Linked DNA regions of Oryzias latipes. The protein of the gene in region 2 interacts with the protein of the main gene of each other region in a pairwise test. Links are inferred from orthologs where the notes say so. Each region holds a gene or a part of one and is shown on either strand. Other genes may lie near its edges. The genes, in order: receptor tyrosine-protein kinase erbB-2, gapdh, htt and peroxiredoxin-1.

Region 1 (4,158 bases), on a different chromosome or scaffold from region 2:
TATCGCAAGTTATATCGTCATCACAATATTGAATACTAATATTGCAAGTTTTCCTCATATCATGCAGACCTACAGTCAATGTAGTTTACCAACATTGAGCTAAAACAATTTGACAGATTTCTGAGTACTGTGTATCATAGAAATTCAGTTCCAGGTCAAAAGAACAAATAAATTCCTACAGACCGACAATATTTTGGGAAACTGAAGGCATAAAAATGTGCATCAAAGTCATATAAATATGATATTTTTTAACCTTTGGATCTATATGAAGACAACAAGGAGAGACCCAAGAGCTTCAAGCCTTCAAGATATTTATGAAGCATCCACACCACTGACTATTATTAGTGAACGCATCACAGTCCTCTTTTTAAATTTAGCTGCTCCAATGCCGGGTCTGAACATGAGAGTTGAGCTTATGGGAAACCATTCATGCACAAAATCTTTAAAAAAAAAACACACACACGCACATTTTGCATACATGCAATAAAATAACACTGACATGCAAACATTTTATGTAGGGTAAGGGCAATTTGAGCATTTTATACAAATAATGACAACATATAATATAGACAAATCTCCCTCCAAGTAAAAAAGCATTTTAGATATAACCTGAGCTGAAGTGAGAACTTTAGTGTGATTATTGGTAAAGTCTTTGATAAGAAATTCTAAATTTTGATAGGATTCATTACAATTGATTAAATGTCATTTTACTGGTCAAATTTTTGTTTTAAAATAAGTTGTTTAGTGATGAAGTGACCAAAAGTAAAACCTTTGATCATAATATTGTGAAATCTCACAATAGAAACGAATAAATTTGATACATTTTTCCAGATAATTTGTGATACATTCTTATAAAAAGAATTAAATCGAGGAATTTCATATTTTTGAATTGTCTTTTTAATTGAAACAAATTGATCTTCAAACACAGCCTTTAAAAGGTTTACATGAAAAAAATGATAGTGTCTTAGTGTTAAATGCCCAGGTTAAGATGCAAAATAATATTAAAACAATAAGATGCTTGATTGGTTGAATTAAAAGTTTTTTATTGCCAAAAAACGGACGTTCCTCTGAAAAACATGAGGGTGAGCGGAGCCTTTTTAGAGAACGACCATCCTGATCTCAGTCAGAGTGGGTCAGGTCACTAACAGTCTAGACGGGCAGAGTTAACCTGCAACTAGCGTCAATTCAAATAGACTTTGCCTTGAGGTGCGCTAAAATATGACAAGGGCGTGAACTGTGCGTCCACTGAGGCAATCGCCTCACACCAAGGATCCTGCATAGAGGGGCTGTGCACACGTGTGAGTGACATAACAAATGAAAGTAAGAAGGCTGGAAGTCAACACTTGGGCATAACATGTTGCTTAACTCTGGGAACCAGTCAGAGCACTCCGGCACAGGTCCGATGCTTCAGAGATCAACACTGCAGACTAAAGTGCACCAACCTGTTCCCCCCAACAATGCTGTCGCGTTCAGAAATGACTTCACCTGTGACTACTGGCTTTGTTCCTGCGTGTGTCCGATTAGTGGTAGTGCTTCGGGGGCAGCTAATAAAACAGGAGTATTGTTTGTGCTCTAAGGATTTCGTCTTTCAACTTAATTGAGCTGGAAATTGGTAATCAAAGTCCAAAAAAAAAAATTCATGGCTCTTTTTGTTGTTTTTAACCCCAAAAACTGGCAATTTAATAAAGTCTGCACATAGTCTCAGTCTGTGCAAAGGTTTTACATGTTTATTGATATTGCTAAATCCTCCTAGAACAGATATTAAACTAGTTCATAATAATAATCATGAAAACTGTGGTTTTCTTGCAGAAATAAAAAATGATATTGGAGTTTTTCAAATCTGACTCCTTTTCTTCGACTTTATATAATTGGTATATGAAATGTGAAAAACAATGAAACAAATAGTTTAGAGCGGTGCTACTTTCTGCAACATGAAGAAATCCAAAAACTCCTCAGGTTTGGCTTTAAACAAAAGAAATCTTGATTTGCATTTTGCAAATTTGCTCTTATTTGCACTTTCAGTTAGTTAGCTCTTACTTTACTGGCATGCACTCCAAGCTCCAAGTGTGATAAGTGGCCCTCTATCAGACAATGTCCCCTTAGGAGCCAGAAGTGAATAATTGACATAGTCATGATGATCTTCTGCACACAGAGCTTTTGTTTGTTTGTTTGTTTGTTGTTTACCAACACTGCTCTGCTGCATCTCAACACCAGTTCTCGAGTTTATTGCCCAACTATGTGGCTTTAACTCTCTTTATTCAATTTAGTGTAAGTTTGTAATTGAAATTCAAACTGAAAGCTTTTAGCGAAGCTACTTTTTGACAGGTGGGAATTTTGTCCTTATCTGCGCTCCATAACTCCCATGAATCTCCGCAGGGAGGACGAAATCACGTACGAGGAATGCAGGAACCCGCGTCGACTTCACACTTCACGTCCACACGAACACAACTCGAACGGGGTCTAGTATGTCCGCGTTCCCAAACCGTGAGAGCGCAAAAGACGACAAAAGTCACCCACCTTCTCCGCCCAAAACGCCCGGCACTCCGAGCAGAACGGCTCCGATAAACACCAAACTTCTCGCGGCTTCCATCTGCTCGCACCCGGCGCGTTTAGTCCATATTCCAGAGTTAGGTCTGTCTAATATTCGTTGTAGCCGACAAAAAAAACACAATAGGTCTTTTCCTTCTTAAAATATTAGACCTTAAAATAATAGCAGCTTTAATCTCGACTCCCTTAGTGAAATTGCTGCCCTTCTTCCTATCCACGGAGACTTCCGAACTCGGACTGTTGGTAGTAACAGTGTGACAAGCGCGCTCCCGTGAAGGCCTGCGCGAGGAGTGGCACTCTGACTCCGCCCACAATCACAGATTTCTGTCTGCAGACCTCAAACTCACTACACGCTTATCAATGTGACATTAAAGACTGTAATGCATGGATTCCTTCTGTCATACAAATATATATATGTTTATTTATTTATTGGTCAAATTTATGTATCCTACTCAAACATGTTTTTTTTCCAACTGAAATGTATCTGAAAAGTGTTCTAAACGCTCATCTTTATGAGGCTGTAGCTTTGAGCATCATGTTAGAACACTGCCAAAAGAACTTAAAGTTCTCTAAAATAAAAATGTGCTGAAGTGTTTAAAAATCATTTTTGTTGGAACAACAAAATAAAATAAAAACTTCCACACCATAATACTACTACCTTCACCAACTTGGCACCTTGCATTTTCAATGGTAGATCTTCCTGGCACCCCAGAATCCCAGAAGGTATCAAATGCAGATTTTTAAATTTATTTGAATTTAAATCATAACATATGGGAAATAGTCAATATTTCAGGACTTTTTTTTCTCCAAATTTTCCATGATACAAGAAATACCAAAAAATTAGATCAGACTGTCTTTGTCAACAAACTTCAAGATGTTGGATTATGTTGTAATTATTGTTGTTTATGGAGGATTTAGCAGTAGCATCTCAAGGAGATGCTTGATCCTGTGAGATGTTCTCAGGCTTGTTATCCTTTTTGTTTTCAGTCTATTGGGGGCTAACATTTCTTGTGCTTTGTCCAAAAAACCCCCCCACATATATGTATTTACACACAGACACGCACACAATACAATTTTCCTGCTCTATTTCCAAACTTTCCCCAAGTGCATAGACTCATACATCTCTGTATCTCACCATTTACTGATTCACTAGAGTGGCTAAACTTTCATAATGACTTCTGGAACAAATTTAAAGAAATCTTCAGTGGGCAAGCAATGGAAGAAAAAAATGTATCTCTAAACAAGTTGAAAATACAGAAAAGTAGAAGTTCTTTTCTTGTTATAAGGGAAAACAAATTTGACATTGGAACTAGAAGAACTTGTTTTGGTAAAATTTCTTAAAATAAATTGTGATGTAATAACCTTTTAAGACAAATTGTTTATGTATATTTCACTGGTAATAGGAAATATTGCATTTAAATGACAAGGTATTGCCAAAATAAGGGTTTTAAATCTTTAAAGTGGGTATGTTTGCACACCTTTCCCCCAAATATATCACATTTTAACAGCTATAACAGTCCAACTACCCCTCTATAGAATCATCCTAAAGACCAGAATCATAAAATATTAAAAACTAAAGACTAAACTTAAATTATAGGGGATATTTTTGCA
Region 2 (4,055 bases):
TGTTTGTAGCGAGTCAGTATGAACACAGAGGACTAACGAGTCCAATTTATGTCATGAAATGTTTCCATGTTTTTCTCTAAAATCAATGCATCAGTTTCGTTCCGACTCAAACGTCGAGGTGCTTGAACTGTTGTGAAACAGACAAAAGAAGATCACCACGAGGCAGCACTTGCAGCACTGAGTATATCATGGATCATGAGTTTGACTCGCTGCAATCTAATCTTAGCTTGACCTTTGCGTCCCTTCTTTGACCTTAAGCTGTAAAGCGGCGGCTGGGACTGGCATGCTTGCACTCGGAGGGGTTGTGATAGTTCAGCTATGCCAGGACCACTGGACGTCTGCCACCAAACCCGCCGTTGCTGCTCAGCTTCAGAGCAGAGAACCGTCTCTGCAGCCTGCTGAAACATGCAGAGGAAATCTAAGCGAGCGTTTGTCGGGTCTGGTCTGCTTGTGCAACACGTGGGGAAAATCTAACACCGTAATCTTGGGAGATCTTTTCTTTCTGATGTCAACATTGTTGACAGAACAGGGAGTCAAAAATAGACTTCGGAAGGCAGCTGGCATGCCTGAGCCTTGTTGTGTTTTGAGACTGGTGAAGAAAGCAAAGATTATTAATCTCTAAAAGATAAAATGTGCTCTTGCAGATTCCTTAGCTGCAGCACTTTCAAGATAAAGTTTTACTATAGAGCCGTTTCCAAATGTCCACACAAAAGTCACAGTTCAGGTGAGCAAACTGACTCCGACAAGTTCCTCTGCACGACTCAAGTTGAGCAACTGAGTTTCAACTTTTGACTTGAGCTGAGGGGATAAAACGGCAGAAAAAGAGGCACGGCAACAGAACCATTCAAGTGAAGGGTCATGGTCTTTGAACATTAAATGTCAGCGTCACTAAGCCAGAGATTTGATCCCCCATTTGCTCTCTCCATGTGTCTGCATTCAGTGAGAAGGTCAGCAGGGACCCCTCTCTTTTTTCAGCTGGAGGATCTAAATCAGGACCTCCAAATGCTTCAGACTAAACTGACAGCACATATTTTGAATTAGAATAAATGCTCTAAAGAGTTAGGACTGTAATTAAAAGTTAAATATGAAGAAGAATTGAAAGGAGCTTGACAAAAATGGGATTTCAGAGCCTGTGTCTGAGCAGCTAACGACCTTGACATTCACAGGGGGCGGGGTGAGGATCGGTGACCATTAAGGGGTGTGGCTTTGTCCTGAGGGGGCCATCATAAATACTCCCAACCAAACTTTGCTCTTCCCCACTCACACCCGGAGTCGCAAGACAGACAGAAGCGTCTCACAAACGGTAAAGGCTTCAGCTGTTTCTGGCAGCATGACTCTTTCATTGAAATCACCTGGAGACAATTGATGCAAAACAGTCACTTTGCTTTGTTTCTGCTTGATTGAAGCTGTTTAGAAAGTTGTAAAGTGTCATGGAGAAGTTGCAGCAATCAAAGTGATCCAAAAAAAAAGGACTTGCATGAATGTTTGAGGCCTTCTGCTCATCTTTCTGCCCAAATGATGTGTGATTTTAAAAAAAATATTTGTTGCATAGATTTCTAAAGGATGTTTTTTTTAAATTGTTATTCTTTAATCTCACAGAGGACTAAAGATCAACCCAGGCTAAAATGGTGAAAGTTGGTATCAATGGGTAAGAGCTTTTTCTCAACACTTCAAGCTCACAATGCCACATTGTTCTTGATGCACTTCAAATATTTCCTTTTTAATCATTTTATTTTTTTAATACATTCCTGGAGTGGTTTTGCAAAACGTTCCCTGAATTGTTTGATTTCTTAAAATAAGGATCTCTTAATGAAACTCTGAATGTTCAGACTAACTTTAGCAGAGTTCCAAGAAACCTTGAGGACACTTGATTTAAAGAACAAGCTCTGGTTTACTAAAGAGTTTTTAATTTTCCCTGGCGATCAAGACGTACATGGAGCTGAAGCAATTGGCATCCAATTTGAAGGTGGTGTGCAACATCTGAAGCAACAAGTGTCCCCTGATGCATTTGAACAAACCTTTGCGCCATCTGGATGTTTTTTGTTTTCTCTCAATCTCTGAACTTTGGCCTTTTGGTAGAAAACTTTGAGTTTGTTTCACCCCTTCAACTGGACAGACGTTTTCTTCTACTCTTGGAATTGAGTAGAAATGAAGCTGAATATCTCATTGGATATTGAACTATCACAATCCTGAATCTTTAGTGTTATCTGCCAGTCCTGCTGGCCTCTGTTTTAGACCAGGTTTTCAGGACTGTGGTTAAAAAGTAACCCGACCATTGATCAAACCGCAGCTGTGGCGTCATCAGGATTAACACACTGGCGGTTCTTCTGACTTTTGCCCCCAGAAAGGGGCGTGTGAGCATTTGAGCGGCATGCAGCCCCTCCTCATGAGCTCTGCCCTTTATCTGACTGCAGATTCATGTCTCCTGGGATGTTATGCATAAGCCAACGTGAAGGAAGGAAACAAAATGGGGTTCTTTCAGTGAACCGCGTTTGCTCGGGTTCACCTGAAAGTCAGCACTAGCGTCCCTTACTGAATGATTTCAGGTTATTAGGCATTGGCCCCTTTATGTCACTGCCACTCAGACATAACTGCACAGATTAGATGGCCTCAGGACGCCATCTAGAGGCCAGACTGATACTTGTCCTTCCACATTTCAGTTTTGGCCGTATCGGCCGTCTGGTGACCCGAGCTGCTTTCACCTCTAAAAAGGTGGAGATTGTGGCCATCAATGACCCGTTCATTGACCTGGACTACATGGTGAGTGAAAGACATTAAGTCTTAAATTAAATGGGGGGGGGGGGGGGGGGAGATCTTGTATTCAAGTTATTTTTGTTTTAAGGTCTACATGTTCAAGTATGACTCCACCCACAACCGCTTCAAGGGTGAGGTCAAGGCTGAGGGAGGCAAACTAGTCATTGATGGACACCAGATCACCGTCTTCCATGAGTGAGTTAATGTGCCAGTATTTAATAATCAGTGATTACTTTTTAGGACGACTAAAAGAAAGTGATTGGATTTTTCTTTGCAGGAGGGACCCTACTAACATTAAATGGGGTGAGGCCGGTGCCCAGTATGTTGTGGAGTCCACCGGTGTGTTTACTACCATTGAGAAGGCCTCTGTATGTATGCTCCCCTCTGGATATCATGATTTTTATTTATTTATTTATTTTTGGATCAAGCAAATGCGGAATAATCCTCTTTAAATCCCAAAATGCAGGCTCACTTGAAGGGCGGTGCCAAGAGAGTTATCATCTCTGCACCCAGCGCAGATGCCCCCATGTTCGTCATGGGAGTCAACCACGAGAAGTACGACAACTCTCTCACGGTTGTCAGGTAAGATGACTTTTAATCTACAAAAGGACCGTCCATTTTTGGATCTTACAGCTCTGACGCCAATGTTTCTGCTTTTCAAAGCAATGCGTCCTGCACAACAAACTGTCTGGCCCCCTTGGCCAAAGTCGTCCACGACAACTTCGGCATTGTTGAGGGCCTGATGGTGAGAGCAGACGCTCCATTAAACGATTTTTGCTGCTGAATGTTCAGACTCATTGAACCCACCTCCCTTTTTGTCTTGGTCTCTCTTCAGAGCACAGTTCATGCCATCACTGCCACCCAGAAGACTGTGGACGGACCCTCTGGTAAGCTGTGGAGGGACGGCCGTGGTGCCAGCCAGAACATCATCCCCGCCTCTACCGGAGCTGCCAAGGCTGTGGGAAAAGTCATCCCCGAGCTGAACGGGTGAGTCCTCAGTGGGTTTTTTAATATTACAGCATACATGCTGTCAGGGTCTTAATTAAACACTTAAAATTTCTACAGCAAACTGACCGGCATGGCCTTCCGTGTGCCCACTCCCAATGTGTCGGTGGTTGATCTCACAGTCCGCCTGGAAAAACCAGTGAGTGACCACAAATCCTTTTATTTTTCCTTCATATGGATTTATTATTATTATCCATATTATTATCACCAGGGATTAAGATGGAATCTCTTAATAAAATTAATCTGCAAAACTGTACAGTTTCTCAGATTTTATTCACTTTCAACATCTACCTTGT
Region 3 (3,563 bases), on a different chromosome or scaffold from region 2:
TGTCGGTGCAGGTACCAACCAGGGGCCCCGCCCCAGCATTATAGTCTGTACGCATGTTTGGATAAGCAGAGATCATTTTAGTTTTTGCCAATTTTTGGAACACCACAAGGTGGGAGGAGCAAACTCCAGCCCATCCCACCTCAGGCCTCCCTTTCTCTATTAGATGTTTTTGGTGATGTCAGAGATTTTCGGGTCAAATCCTTCGGAGGAAGCGGTGAATTTAGCCGCCGTACATCAGCGGGACCTCAGCTGTAAATGCATTCTGATACTGACCCTGTAGACCACGGTGGCCATGAATTGTGGGTAAGGCTGCTGGTTGGACAGGAACTCTCCGATGACCTTGTTCATGATGTCCTGTGGAGGGAAGAAATCGTCCAGAAACTGGGGCAGAATCCTGGACACCACCCGGGCCTCACTGGGAAAACCCTTCCTGATCCTGCAGCGACAGGAAAAGCCGTCTCGTGAGCAGAAGTGACGAGCGGACGGGCGTGAGGGCGATCTGCGGCCGTGCACGTCTGCTTGCGTACCTGTCGAAGAGCACGGAGACCCGCTCCATGGCCACGATGATGGACTCGCTGTCTGGGGCCTGCGGGTCGGGGTGGGCAGGCCTGCTGGCGGGGCTGGCTTTCTCCTTGCCTAAGGAGAAACCAACATGACCCTCCATGACGGCCGCCGCCTCCGCTACAGCAGAGTCAACCTGACCTCTAACCCCATCTGAGCCCGACGTAAGCACCGCTGAGAAGACCAGAGGGGTGGGTGGCACCGGCGGCACCGGTGGAGCGTGTACAGGTTAGAGTGGGGGTCAGGACACTCATCACAGCAGTCATATTAGAATTTTGTGGTTTTTTGGGACTGGTGCTGGAAATAAAAGGGCCTCCCAGCCTGCTCTGCAGCCTCAAACGCGCTTCTACGTGCACGTTGAGCGCCACAGAGCAGAAACTGCTGGCCAACTCTTGCTGGCAGAAAGACGGGCTGGGGGGCAGTTGGGGTTAGTAAAGGCCGTTGTTAGGGTTAGAGGTAGGGTGCACTGAAGGAAACAACAGCAGGCGACAAACATGAACGCACAAACACACGTGTTGAGCGATGACACGCCTTAGAGAGTTTCAGTGTTTACTCAAACGGCCAAATAAACGGAGAACATTTCAATCACCTGCACTTCCACTTGGAAGACAGGTAAACAGTTATTGAAGCAGCCGTTGGAGAAGAAACGCAGGATGTGCAGCGGCTGCACATCCTGCGAGTCCGTTCTTCTCAGCACCAAAGTTTGGGATTCGTTTTCCCGATGCTGAAATCGGAGCGATGCCCACAAATCTACCGGCCTTTTCAGCACCGGTGTTGGGAAGGACACAGTGTCAGTGTAACGGCGTTTATCCCGTTGGAACAATCAGTGTGTCTGCTGCACGACACTCGTCTTTTTTTCTAAGGCCTGATCTACCCCTCTGCCCTTCTCTTTGACCTTTGGGCAGTGAGGTTTGGAAAAAGGGGCTACCAGGTAAAGTGAGACGGCTTGCACCCTTCCACCAAGTTCTTCTTCTGAGGAGGTCATTTTAAAGCAAAGTGCTCCTCGTCTCGTTGGAGGTTTAAGCTGAGGACCATCAGCAGCCCCACCTGACCACCGGAGAGTGTGGGTGCAAGTTTACCTGCAGATCTACAGACAAACACGGTCACTCATTTTGAACATTTGCTGTCTACAAGCGTCCTCTGTAGCTGATCATAGCTGGGGTGAAGGATGGAGGACTTTACAAACACAGAGCGCGGTGCGCTGAGGGGTTAGCGGATGTTCATGCAGGTGAGCGTTAAGGTGAGTTGCAGCAGCACCAGTCACCAGCCGGCGTTTCCACCGGCGCGCAGCGTCAGGGCTGGCAGACGGCAGTTTACCGGTGTACATGCAGGTGAGCATGAGGCCCAGGGCGGCCATGGCTCTGTGCGGCGACGACGCGTTGACGCGGTCCACGCTGAGCTTCACCAGCGCCTCTCCGTCCATGCGGGACAACTGCTCCGACAGCAGGAGGCGCTCTAGCCCGCGCAGCACGCAGTGGTAGATGATGGAGGGCGTGCAGTCTTCGCTGGCCGACACCATGACCCCACACAACTGACAGGGACACAAGGACACGTGCATTTGTTTTAGCTAGGGCTGCACGATATGAGGAAAAATCGCGATATTTGAGATTAATATTGCGATAACGGTATAATTTGCGGTATATAAAGCAATAGCAAAACAACCAAAAACATCATTCCCATTTCATTGCAACAGTTTTGCTAGCTCGCCAGGCTAACGCCGTTGAAAATCGACAACTTTTAAAACCAACGTTCTTCCCAAAATGCTAGAGTGGTTAGAAGACGATAAATCCAAACCCCTAGCAGTGTAGACGTGTAGCTGGTACTAAGGATGTATCTTTTTTTGTGGGGGGGAAGGTTAAAGTCAAAGTCCCACCATCTGTCATGCACCTAGCTGTGCGAAATTTGCACTCCGCATTTGACCCCTCCCCTGAGGGAACGGTGAGCTGCAGACACAGCTCACCGTTTGGTGGTTTTGGTGGAAAATTCCACCAAATTGCGAGTTTAAAGGTCAACAAGACTTTGATTGAGGTCGTAAACTTAAGCCGGTTAAAACCAAAATTATTTTCCCATATCGTGGGAAAACGCCGAATTTCGCACTTTACCACAAAATGGCCGCCAAACCGTTGGTCCTATGGCCATCCCATAATAGTTTCAAAACTTCCTTTGGGTATCCCATCATGGGGATTTGGTTTCATTGGTGGATTTTGAAATATTTGTTTGATCCCCATAAAAGATTGTGGCCACATTTTTTTTTTTTTTTTTGGGACGGTTTGACTGCCATGAATTGGTGGATTTTGTGGAGTCAATTTCAGGACCTAAATTCTGCGTTAAATGAGGTTCCCCTGTGCTCAGCTGACTTGGTTTCATCAGTGAGTTCTTGCATCCACAGTGACCTCACGGTCTGAATGAGTGACACGTCAGACATGTGGTAGAAAACCGTCCCTCCCTTCACAGCAGCAACAACAGAAACATTCTGATCCACAGGGATGTGAACAGTTTCCAGTCACTCTGAGGCATCAACAGAACCCCAGCGGTTCCCCACAGAACCGCATTACCTGGATAACTGCAGCCACAAACTCTGGTCCGACGTCCAACGGGTAGTTCTCCATCATGTAGAAGGCCACTGCACACATCACCAACACATGCTGCTGGTTGTGCAAGTTCACACAACTGCAAAACAGAAACAGCAGGCGGAATCAGACACGACCCCCTCGTTTCCGTTTCCTCATGACTATCGGCTCCCAGAGGCTTTGACAGAATCTGTTCAAAAGGAGGAAGGCGCTCACTGAGCAATGGCCCTGAGGTTCGACAGAAGATACTCCGACACTGTAGGTATGAGCTGCTTGGCGGTGTCGTCCAGCAGGTCGCACTCCAGCACGTACAGCACGCCGTGCAGGGCCCCCATGCGGCTGGGCAGGTGGGTGCTGCGCAGGGTGGTCTCCAGCAGGCGGCAAACAGGCTCAGCGATCGCTTTGTCCTACAGAGGGACATTTTAACGTCAT
Region 4 (4,002 bases), on a different chromosome or scaffold from region 2:
TCACACGCCCTCATTATGCAGACATTAGGATGAGAAAGGGGATGAATGCAGGCCAGCGTTTGATCACTGGCTCAGAGTGCTGCTTCTAAAGGGGGTTATTGTGTTTCTCCCTCCAGTCTGGTCCTTGAAGTAGCGCTATGGCAACAGCCTGCAAAGATGCAGCTTGATTATAGCTGAAGACGGAGGGATGCTTCTGCCATGACAGAGAAAATACACAGAAGAACTCTTTCCAACTTTATATACACTATTGTTTACTCTACTGTGTGTAGTCTTATTATTATTATTGTTTGACCTCCATTGAGTTGTTTCCCCCTTTTGAGATAATATCAATCATGAGATCTGTGGTCATATGAACATTAAGTTAGAGTAAATGAGATCAGCTTCTGGGCAAAACAGAGAAATCTGAACGTTAGCATTTCACAATTCATACGCATCATCGCTCTAGGTGTGAGAAAATCACTAAAAGTGAGGTATCTAAATAAAGAACTAGACATAGGTTAATCATTTGACAAGACTGAATGATTCACATGAAGAGCAACCACTTAAGGATTATGCAGATCTATTTTTGTTAAACAGAAGACATTTTGTTGTTTTTCTTTACCTTTTTTGCTTTTATTTAAGCGTTTAGGGCTTGTAATTAAACAACAAGAAACCTCTTTCTGTGCGAGACAGTGTGTACATTATGTGTTCTGTTCCTTCCAGTAAATATTACAGAGGAGAGGAAAGCAGGAAATGAAAAAGATAAATGACTTTGGCAGCAATCTGGATAAGCACACAGTGTTGCAATAAAGTGTTTGAAGGAAGGGAGTGAGATTTTCCAGAAACTGCTTAAGAAAATATAATATCGTTGGCAAGAGAAATGCAGCTTAAAATACCCTGGTTGAAATATAACGTCTACAAGACTTTTCCATACCGGGAGTTTTTTTGTAAGGGCATGGCCAAAGTAGAAAAAAAGGAGAGGAAGAGTTTAAGAAATATGGATAAACGAAATGTATACTTGACAAAAGTTATGAGAAAAATTGAGAAAGCTACCAAACGCTGTTTTTCCCCTCGTCTGTGTTTTTAAAACAAATTAATGGCTTCATAAACTAGAGATGTTAGAAAAAAAGAGGCATCTCTCTAGCTTCCTTTTCATGAAATAGCAGTTAAAAAGTGCAGAGTCATGCTGAATGCTTCATTTCTGGAAATAGGGATCAAGGAAAGGTTCTGTTCTTGTTCGGTCGATGTTATCGCGAGATTTCTGGGCTTTATAAAACCTCCTGATAGCGCACTCGAGCCCGCACGTTCGCTTCTGACAGTTGGTGTGGCGTGATCGCTAAGAGGTGAGTACCATAATGCCTTCATCTTACCACCCCCCCCCCCCCCTCTCGTTTACTTGTGTTTTTAAAGGTTTTTTTTTTTTTCATACAGTTAAACCCGGAAGTTTTCAGTTCAACAAGTGTCTGTTTATTTCCGTTCGGGATTTGATTTCGTGTGGAAAATCAAATAACCAGATTTTTTATAACTTTTATTTCCCCATATTATATTAAATGAATTGGGTCTTAAGACTAACACTTTTGGGCCTCTAAACGTTTTCTTTCTTTCTTTTTTTTAAGCGTTGTGGGGCGTGAAAACCTCTCTGTTCCCCAAAACGGGGCGATCTTCTTTCCCACCAAAAGTAAAACATTTAACTTTGTCTCCCACATGCGGAAATGTAAACTAAAAGAGGCGCTCGTAAGCTGTAATAAATACTAGTTTAAGTGGACACTGTCTAAATAACATTCCAACTCTTTTTCAAACCATTCTCTCATTTGACGCTTTTATTTTGAAAAACCCACTTCATTGATCCAGTTCATTATTTTGACTTTTGTATCATGTTCTTTCTAAATGTTGTTATATTTCACGTATCCAGTTGATTATGCATTACGTTAAAACTCTTAAAACTACTACTCTTACTACTTCCTCTTTCATGGATGCATAGATTCGTGCTTTTTGTCTGGCAAACGAGGAAGGCTTTTTTTTTTTTTTTTATTTAATCCCACTTCCTCCTTCTGTATTTCAGTAAGGACAAACATGGCAGCAGGAAAGGCAAAGATTGGAAGCCTGGCCCCAGACTTTACAGCTAAGGCTGTGATGCCTGACGGCCAGTTCAAAGACCTGAAGCTGTCAGATTATAGAGGTAAAAGCCTCAGTCTATCTTGTAAACAATAATTAAGGCAGCGCAAGAGCACTAATACCTTATATTTTATTTTTCCTGTTTCACTCTTCCTACAGGAAAGTATGTCGTTTTTTTCTTCTATCCTCTGGACTTCACCTTTGTGTGTCCCACTGAGATCATCGCCTTCAGCGACGCTGCTGACGACTTCAGGAAGATTGGCTGTGAAGTCATCGCTGCCTCTGTGGACTCTCACTTTTCTCATTTTGCATGGTACTTTCAGATTTTTAACATAATACCTTGTGCTTCAACTTTTGCAAATAGTTGAAATCAATTTTTCTTTTTGTTTTGGTTTGAAAGGACAAACACACCACGGAAACAAGGCGGTCTGGGTTCAATGAAGATCCCCCTGGTGTCTGACACGCGCCGCACCATTTCCACAGATTATGGGGTCCTGAAAGAAGATGAAGGCATTGCTTACAGGTGACACAACAGAGTTTTTTTTATTTTTTTCTATTTGCACATCCCTAAATTAGACCTTAAAGTGTGGATGCCATGCTTTGAACAACTTTGTCAAATAAAAAAGCCCTTTAAACGCTGATTCTATTGATACCAATAGTTCGCGTCGAAAAAAATCCGAAGCATATGAATAATAGACATCTTTCGAAGGAATCAGAGATTTGGATCTGCCGCTAGAGCGCAGGCTGGAAGTGAACCCGATATGACCTGTGACGTCATGAAAGGCGTTGATTTTCGCAGTTCCGCTTCGGACAGCATGTAAACAAAACCGGTAGTCTTCGTTTCTCTCGTGTTTAAATCTGTTAATCATCAACATGCCAAGTCGTTGTGTGGCAGCTGGATGTAGCAATACATCTACTGAAAGTGTATCTGTGTATAAAATTCCCAAACAAGAAACGCTGCTGAAAAGGGGAAAGTTCAAGAAGGTGGACGGCGAAGGATTTTTCCCTCCAGATCTGCAGGAGAGAAGTCTGCGTTTTCGAAGGGACAAAAACCGGGACACAAACGAAGAATTTTGAACGGAGAGTTGGGAGGAGGATCTTGGCTTCTGAGTCGAGGAAAGGCGGGTGAGCTGGAAGCGAGCGAGCCGTTTTCTGGGTCGGAGAGGACGGCGCTGGAGTCGGGAGCGGAGGCTGCTAAGCTAGTGTGCATCACGATGGATCACATTGAGGCGAAGTAGTCGTGTTTTCTGTTGTCCTTGGATCCAACTGGAGTATTTCAACGCACTCAATGTTTTGCAAGAGAAGCAACAGGCCTGCAACGTTTTTTTTCTTTTGCTTTTGAGGTGCCGGTACCATGAGTAAACTAAACTGTGTGTGTGTGAGCGCGCGCGCGCGCACGAGAAAAGGTTTCAAACGGGTTCAAACGGGTAAAACTGTTAATGTTCCACAGTTGTTAATGGTATACAGTGACTTTGTTAACTAAAGAGTAGTAATATCTGGGAAACTTTTATTTTGTGACATTTATTTTGTAAATTGGGTTGAAAACCAGTGTTTACCTTTGTTTAGATTAGGCCAAAAGGGGACATTTTGAGTATATTTTAGGGTAAGTGGAGTAATTTAATTTTATACATTTTTTAGACTTGCTGGAGTCTAGCCGAATCTTCATGCTGGCTATCGTCATGATCGGCATGATCACTAGACCTACTACTTTCTGCTATATCCTCCTCACTTTCGCAAAAGGGTTCGAATCGATACGGTTGCAAAAGTGACTCATCATCATGATAATCTCCGCAACTTTCCTCTTCATCTTTCTGTTCATCTGATGATAAATCGCTAATAGAGACGGTAGCATCACTCTGTGCTTCGCTATCGGTGCTAGCCATGTTGTCTGCCTTGTCTTCCTTTCGT

What was found.
Region 1: the proteins of gapdh (region 2) and receptor tyrosine-protein kinase erbB-2 interact in a protein complementation assay, tested with the Homo sapiens proteins (2 studies listed by BioGRID and IntAct, with this or other methods). The link is inferred for Oryzias latipes from reciprocal best matches to the Homo sapiens genes GAPDH and ERBB2.
Region 3: the proteins of gapdh (region 2) and htt interact in binary tests that used the Homo sapiens proteins (3 or more experiments, as listed by UniProt). The link is inferred for Oryzias latipes from reciprocal best matches to the Homo sapiens genes GAPDH and HTT.
Region 4: the proteins of gapdh (region 2) and peroxiredoxin-1 interact in a two-hybrid assay, tested with the Homo sapiens proteins (2 studies listed by BioGRID and IntAct, with this or other methods). The link is inferred for Oryzias latipes from reciprocal best matches to the Homo sapiens genes GAPDH and PRDX1.

The regions. Positions count from the first base shown.
Region 1 is NC_019877.2:7,422,742-7,426,899, forward strand, and holds the start of receptor tyrosine-protein kinase erbB-2, read right to left. Parts: upstream 2,821-4,158; 5' UTR 2,591-2,820; coding exon 2,518-2,590; intron 1-2,517. UniProt on the Homo sapiens protein: Protein tyrosine kinase that is part of several cell surface receptor complexes, but that apparently needs a coreceptor for ligand binding. Essential component of a neuregulin-receptor complex, although neuregulins do not interact with it alone.
Region 2 is NC_019874.2:20,246,398-20,250,452, forward strand, and holds the start of gapdh (glyceraldehyde-3-phosphate dehydrogenase), read left to right. Parts: upstream 1-1,220; 5' UTR 1,221-1,303; intron 1,304-1,599; 5' UTR 1,600-1,625; coding exon 1,626-1,648; intron 1,649-2,660; coding exon 2,661-2,760; intron 2,761-2,842; coding exon 2,843-2,949; intron 2,950-3,031; coding exon 3,032-3,122; intron 3,123-3,220; coding exon 3,221-3,336; intron 3,337-3,417; coding exon 3,418-3,499; intron 3,500-3,589; coding exon 3,590-3,741; intron 3,742-3,819; coding exon 3,820-3,898; intron 3,899-4,055. UniProt on the Homo sapiens protein: Has both glyceraldehyde-3-phosphate dehydrogenase and nitrosylase activities, thereby playing a role in glycolysis and nuclear functions, respectively.
Region 3 is NC_019859.2:35,162,518-35,166,080, forward strand, and holds part of htt (huntingtin), read right to left. Parts: intron 3,539-3,563; coding exon 3,348-3,538; intron 3,232-3,347; coding exon 3,117-3,231; intron 2,093-3,116; coding exon 1,879-2,092; intron 736-1,878; coding exon 528-735; intron 437-527; coding exon 274-436; intron 1-273.
Region 4 is NC_019875.2:16,491,953-16,495,954, reverse strand, and holds the start of peroxiredoxin-1, read left to right. Parts: upstream 1-1,197; 5' UTR 1,198-1,322; intron 1,323-1,595; exon of another isoform or gene 1,596-1,657; intron 1,658-2,041; 5' UTR 2,042-2,052; coding exon 2,053-2,158; intron 2,159-2,253; coding exon 2,254-2,407; intron 2,408-2,494; coding exon 2,495-2,617; intron 2,618-4,002. UniProt on the Homo sapiens protein: Thiol-specific peroxidase that catalyzes the reduction of hydrogen peroxide and organic hydroperoxides to water and alcohols, respectively.